Callithrix jacchus: one gene and its partner. The protein of the gene in region 2 purifies or fractionates together with the protein of the main gene of each other region. This does not show direct contact. Links are inferred from orthologs where the notes say so. Each region holds a gene or a part of one and is shown on either strand. Other genes may lie near its edges.

Region 1 (3,655 bases), on a different chromosome or scaffold from region 2:
ATTGAAATGGTGACACAGGTCATCCTTTCTCAGCCACTGGGTTCCATTTCATCTCTGAAGGACTATAGATACCATGAGGAAAACATTTAACTCAGAAGATGAACACAATAGGAAGCTGAAAGCAGAAGTGTTTCTCTCCCTCTGCATTCAGACCAGGCCCCCCTGCTGTCTGCTGTTGAGCCTCCGCCACCACTCATTCAAATCCCCCCAACCGACAGATTTCTGCAAGTCCTGTCCTTTCTAGTGAACCCTTTTAAAGGGTTTTGTGTCACACACAGTGCCTAGTCCAGAGCTTGTTGCCTTCACTTTCACAAGGCAAAAAAAATGAAATTTTATCCTGGAAATCTAAGCTTTCATTAATAGTAAAACTGTCCTGAAACAAAACTGTTTACATCAGTTATCTGGAGGCATTACCTAGTTGGTGAAATTCTACTCAGAATTCCAGTGTTAGTTTTAATGTCTAGAGCAGTGCCTCACATTAATTGAAGAGTTTAACCGTATCTATCATTTGTAATATATTTCATTCTCTAATGTAAACTCTTATGATTTTTCTTTAAATTTCAGCAAGATCCATATATAGCATCTATGGAACACCATACTGACTGGGTAAATGACATCGTACTCTGTTGTAATGGGAAAACATGTAAGTATTTCTTTGGATTGTTATCAGGCTTCTGATATATTTTTCATTTTTTATATAAGCTTTTTTTTAATTGAAGTATAATATACATACAGAAAAGTACACACACTTTGAGTTGCAATTCAACACAATTTTAGAAAGTAAATACCCACAAATCAAGAAACAGAATATTACTAGAAGCCTCCTTGCGCCACCCTTTCAGATACTACCCCTTGCCCCAGGGTAACTGGTCTTCTGTCTCCTGAACACCAGAGGGTAGTTTTGCCTTCATTTGAACTGTATATAGACTCATACTATATGTATTCTTCTTTTAGCCTTATTAATACCTCTTTTTCTTCTCATTTTAGTGAGATCCGTGCCTTGGTTTTGCAGTCTGAGTTGCAGGAATTTTTCTCAATCAAATTAGTTGCACTGGTTTTATAAAAAATATTTTTTTTTCTTTGAACATGTGTCTTGAGATTTTAAAAAATTGAGGCAGTATACAGTAGGTTCTAGAAAGAGCTTTTAGGTAGGGGTGTGTGTGAGAGAGAGAGAGAGAAAGAAAAGAGTTAGTTTGAAATAATGTTATACATTGTTATAAGTTTAACATTGTTTAACATTGTTATAAGTTTCAAAGTTGTAAGTCATACTACTAAAGAGTTTGTTAATTCTTTGCTTCTTCTAGTAATATCTGCTTCTTCTGACACGACAGTAAAAGTATGGAATGCACATAAAGGATTTTGCATGTCAACATTAAGGACACATAAGGTAAAACAATACAGTTCTCAGTGTCTTCAGTGTAATATTGGGATCTCAGTACTTTGTGTGGCTCATTTTATTACTGATCTGCAGAATAGATCGTAGAATTTCTGTTCTATTACAGGATTACGTAAAGGCCTTAGCATATGCCAAGGATAAAGAATTAGTGGCATCGGCGGGGTTGGACAGGCAGATATTCCTTTGGGACGTGAACACTCTAACAGCATTGACTGCCTCAAATAACACTGTCACAAGTAAGGCATTTACCAAAACTTTGTTTGAAAGTGATCCAAGTTAACATCAATAAAGAATTGTTTATAAAACATTTTGATAGGTTTGCATCGAGACAGTGGTTCATATTTTGAGAGTGCTTCTACCTACAGCGTTCTAGCCCCCCAGAGTATGATTGAACAAGAAGGAGCTAGTTCCTCATTGCAGTCTAAAAATGGTAACTTCTCCAGGTGTAACCTGGTTATTTTTTGTACATGTGCATGTCTTAGCGCCCTAGCTAAAATGTAAGCCCTTGCAGGGTAGAGGAGTCTGTCTTACCACTACTTTGTATCTTCCACAGCAATCCCTGGTCCAAATCCATACACGTAACAGGTATTGTTGAAGGAGGTGGTGATTATCTGGCAAAGTAGGCGATTTTCTGACTTTTTGAAGTTTTACTATATATTAAGAGCTTTTGAGTTAATGGCCAAAATGAAAAAATACCCAAGGTAAAGAAAGAAAAGGTTTTCAGTGCCAATTTGTCCAATTTTCTGCCCTTTTAGAGCAGCCCTGAAGAATCAAGCCAATTCCAGAAGGGCCAGAAGGGCCAGAAGGGTAGAGTGCTTCTAGAGGCAATTCAGAGATGTTCACAGCATGGATGCTTCATCAGCTAAGAGATCTCAGACCACCAAGTCAGGCTCATACAGGTCTAGATTTGAAATCAAGCTTCATGCTTGGCCCAACCAACTAGGGTCCTCTAGGCCAGGTTTCAGAAGGGGCTGTTAGGAGCACATTTTGGGCTAGGCCTGACCTGGAAAGTCTACGTTGAAAACATGGGCCTGCACTCTCTGGATCCCTACATTATAGATCTGTTTTATGATGACTCTGTGGAGTGTTGACATTGACATAGATAATACAGTTTTACTAATATAACCTAGTATGTGCCAAGAAGGGCAAGTTGGGAGCCGCGTTTATAATCTCTTGAATGTTGTTTTGCTTTGTTTGCCAGGAAATATGTAGAGGTCTCAACATTCTGTTCTCCTTGTTCTTGATTTTTCACCTGTATATTATCTCTGATTCATCAACTGGTCCCTTTTAGGGGCTGTCATGGTACATCATTAGGTTTTTACTCTCTGGCTGTAAGGTCTGCCTCAAAGAAACACTAACAGGAGGGAATGAAGCAAAAAAAAGCAGATTGTCACAAGGTCAGGGCCTAGGCTTAGTGGCTAGAGATTCTGCTATAACGGATATATCTTGCTTAGAGTTGTTTAGAGATATCACATGCTTTTTAAAAAAAAAAAACCATAATTATAAAAATAACACTAATAATGGCTAACATGTATTGAGTACTTGCTTCAAGCAGACATTTTTCTAAACACTATGTATGTTAACTCATTTACCCATAACTTTTTAGTATGTTTGTTTATTGTAAAGTTGGGGTCATACTGTATAGACAGTTCCATATGCAGCTCTTTTCACTTCAGTGGTACTGAGGACATGAACATGATTTTTGCTGTGTAGTGTCTGAATTCCTTCCCAAAAGGTTGTTCTGATTTATCTTCATGCAAGCAATATATGAGAGTGCCATTGTACTGTTTGCTTTTTAGAATCAAGTATTACCTTGTTTTTTGTCTTGGTATATGAAACAGTATTTTTGCTTTGATTTATGTTTGAAAAATAGTGAATTGAACATTTTTTTCATATTTATGGCACATGTGTAGCTTTAAAATATGTCCTTTAAGTGAATAGCTTTTCAGTGGCACTGCAATTTATCAGATGTTTATTTATTGAGTATTTGTATATATTCAAATCCAAAAAATATGTAAATTTTGATAATACTGTTTAAAATTGTCTCCATTATAGGTAGATTTCTTTTCCTTAGAGTATTTATAAAGATAAAATTTTCTAAATTGAATAAACCTGTAATTTTTGCTGACTAGTTACTAAGCAGTTCATGATCTTGCTAACATTTAGCTCCATTTATCCTCAATAGCTTCTTCTTTAAGTGGGAACAAAGATTCCATTTATAGCCTGGCTATGAACCACCTGGGAACAGTCATTGTGTCA
Region 2 (3,655 bases):
TCAAAAATAAAATAAATAATTGCTTCCTCTTACCTTTGTGCTTCCACAGAAATTGATTGTATCTCTGTATTTAATACGTATAGATAGCTATTGTGTTCTTCATAGTGGATCACAGATACAAATACTTGCTTGTCTTTGCAATTCATGTTTTTAGTCCCAGCTTCTAATGTGCCTGGTATGAAAGCTTTGAGGTTTGTTGAGGGTTTCTGTGACTTTTCAATGGTGTTTTGTTGCATTTTGTCATTGTAGCCTAAGATTCCTGAACGCATCTGCAAACAAACTGGAAAGCCTTCCTCCAGCCACACTTTCTGAAGAGACAAACAGTATCTTACAAGAGTTGTATTTGACAAATAACAGCCTCACAGACAAATGTGTGCCCTTGTTAACGGGACACCCCCATTTGAAGATTCTTCACATGGCCTACAACCGCCTCCAGAGTTTTCCAGCAAGGTAGAGGAGAGTCGTAAAGCTGTGTTCTGAATTGTGTTTCTCAAAATGTATTCATGGAAAGGTGAAAGCTGAAGTATTTATTTCCCAGGTGATGTCAGGTTTATTTGCTTGTTCCTCCTTCATTCACGGTTTCCTTTATATAAGCCGTGTTGACATTTCCCTAAAGAGAAGTAGATTCGTTTTCCTCATATGTGTCCAAAGACCTAATCACAACAATGTTCTTAAGTAAAATGTGTTATTTAGCAGGTATGTTTTTTCTTTTGCTTCTTTCAACCAGTCAGATTAATTTTTTGAAAAGCCATTATCCTAGAACCTGGTGTGGTAGTGCGTGCCTTTAGTCCCAGCTACTCAGGAGGCTAAGGTAGGAGGGTCACTTGAGCTCAAGAATTCAAGACCTGCCTGGGCAGTATAGTGAGACCCTAATATTAAAAGATAAAACAAATAATAAAGTTTCCAAAAACATCAACCTAATCGGTTATGTGGGAATTGGAATGTAAACCAGGAACCTGAAAATCCTTCATTATCTACCAACTTTTATGTTTATACTCATGATGTACAACGCAGTGGTAGACTCCACTGCCGTAGAAGCTGTAACATTGCAAGTGATGGCTCTCAGAAGAGTCCATTTTTAATTTGTTTTTACTTTAATTTCTAATTTTCAGGGAGCAGTGACATTATATGTAACTTTGAATGAATCTGTGTGCTGAACCTGCTGTGAGGATTTACTCTGTTCCCACTTCATTGGCATTTATCCATCTAACAAGTTAGGACTTGGAACACACACCCACGCATCAAAGAAGCAAACACTAACCCCTCTGGTATTCTGCTTGGTAACTGCAACTCAGCATTGGGGCCATATCAAAATACTCTCACAGCCTCCCTCTGCTGCCTTCAGGGCTACCAGTCTGTTCAAGCCCTTGCAGAAGGAGGAAGGCACATGTATGTGTTGACTTAAAGTATTGCTCTGTTTGTGGCTTAATGTTTACTTTCTTCCTCATTTGAGATTAATGATTAAACTATTTTATACTTACTTCCATGTACTTTTACTTTACTATGGAATGGGGAAATGATATTTTTAGGAAAAAAACATGATAATCACATTAACAGTAACCTATCTGAAAGGGCTCATTGTCATCTTTCAGATAGTCTAAAGCCTGCAGAGGAAAGGATCATCAGCTCTGATTCTGAGGATACACCCCCAGTGACCCATGCCAAGTGTAATCACCCACCCTAAGTGCAGAGAAGCTTTTAATACACCTTGTAAAAATTCATCTAGTAATGAATTCTGTCACCCTGTGGATTGTGATATGGCTCAGAAGTTCCCCTACAAACCAGAGTACCTTCAGAGCTGGGGTTGTGACCTAGCTGTCTCCCTCAGCCTTATGTCTCACACAGTGTCATGGCTGCTGAATTAAAGAATATGACCACCATCTAGTCATTTTGTCTTCACATCTTTTGCCACCTTCTTTTTATATTGAGAGTTGGAAATTTCTTTAACTTTTTCTTTTGGGTGCCTGCTTTCTGTACTTTTAATCATCTTTCATGCGCCATTATCCATTAGTTTCAAGGCATAGTGCTGGCATCTGCTTCTGGTGAGTCTTCAGGAAGCTTACAATCATGGTAGAAGGTGAAGGGGGGCTGTTGTGTCACATGGTGAGAAAGGGGGCAAAAGAGATGCCAGGCTCTTGCGTGAATGCACAGTGTATGAATTCACATATTATCATGGGAAGAGCATCAAGCTGTTCATGAGGTATCTGCCCCCATGACCCAAACACCTCCCACTGGGCCCTACCTCTAGCATTCGGAATCACATTTCAACATGAGATTTGGAGGGGACAAATAATCCAAACCATATCACCATATTTCTTTCAAATTATGATCACAACATATTTAAATAATATTCTTAGAAGTTCAGGCTATCATAGATGGATTACTTTATAGGCTGTGTACATATTGTTTGTAGTATATTCTGATACACTGGATGTTTATGGTATAAAAGGTCTGGCTTCATAAAATAAAATTCTTATTGTTCTTATTATATCTTAGGCATATATTTCAAGATAAGTAAGATAATCTTTATATTTGAAAGCTGACAGAAAAATAATAGTGTTTTTTGTTAAATTGTTTAAAGGTGTATTGTGACAAATGAAACTATAACAGGTAGAAGTGATACCAATAACTGTAAACTAAATTATTCAGTTTACGAGTCTGAGTCACACTATGGGGAATTTTATGCATCTTGGAGTCTAGCATCAGCAGGAGTGGAAAGAGAGTCACAAGAGTGGCAGATACTAGTACAGTGATTGCAGAGGTGGAGGCGTTTTTTCTTTCAGATTTATAAAGAATGCAAGAAACTGTGATTGTGGAATTTTTCTTTAGTTGGTAATTGTAATTATTGATGAAGATTATAAATTAGGATTGAAAAATAAAAGACATTCTTAAATGGAAATTTAAATTAACTGCATTAGAACGTATTCTTAAGGTAAGGCTGGAGAGATTCCTTCTTTGTAGATGTTTAGTAAGAATAGAGAGAAATGTCTTTTGTCCCTGGTGTGAATTTGGGCTCTGCCAGAAGTGCAAGAGGTGATCCAAATGGGCTTTTAACACACCCCCTGCCCCTTACCACTACTCTGTATTCATCAGTGATGTCAGAGGAATTGGGGGAGTGGGGCTTGGGGAAAAAGTTTATCTTAATATGAACTATAGACCTGTTCTCTACCTCCCATTATGAGTTTTCAGTGCCACTACAAAGAAATTACACTCCCTAAGCCCTTTTAAGGCAGTTATATTGCTGGCTTTTGACTCATTTAAATAGTGTTTTCATTAGCATTCAGACCAAGCTATGCAGTGACATGATTATTGCCAGGGTAACTTAATTGCCACACAGACTTTAAGGAGGAAAAGAGGATCCATTTTCCTTTTTGTTGACAATTTGAAGAGTTGAAGTTAATAGTTTTTGTTCTATAATGGGAAAAGAGGTGTTAAAATATTTCAGTACTCCAAAATGATAGTGAAAAAATGGTCTTGTTTGTAAAAGTGACTGTTACAAATGAAACCTTAAAGTCATAGCAATTTAATTCATTCTTTGAGTCTCATCATATATTATTTTATTTTTACATGGATTTATAATTATAACTCCCTCCCTGATGGATTTTTTTTTTTTTTTTTAGTAAAATGGCAAAACTGGAGGAACTAGAAGAAATTG

What was found.
Region 1: the proteins of PHLPP1 (region 2) and WDR48 purify together in Homo sapiens (affinity purification with mass spectrometry; 5 studies listed by BioGRID and IntAct, with this or other methods). This does not show direct contact. The link is inferred for Callithrix jacchus from reciprocal best matches to the Homo sapiens genes PHLPP1 and WDR48.

What each region holds. Positions count from the first base shown.
Region 1 is NC_133518.1:76,923,468-76,927,122, forward strand, and holds part of WDR48 (WD repeat-containing protein 48), read left to right. Parts: intron 1-564; coding exon 565-643; intron 644-1,304; coding exon 1,305-1,387; intron 1,388-1,502; coding exon 1,503-1,632; intron 1,633-3,581; coding exon 3,582-3,655. UniProt on the Homo sapiens protein: Regulator of deubiquitinating complexes, which acts as a strong activator of USP1, USP12 and USP46. Enhances the USP1-mediated deubiquitination of FANCD2; USP1 being almost inactive by itself.
Region 2 is NC_133514.1:105,898,582-105,902,236, forward strand, and holds part of PHLPP1 (PH domain leucine-rich repeat-containing protein phosphatase 1), read left to right. Parts: intron 1-249; coding exon 250-450; intron 451-3,620; coding exon 3,621-3,655. UniProt on the Homo sapiens protein: Protein phosphatase involved in regulation of Akt and PKC signaling.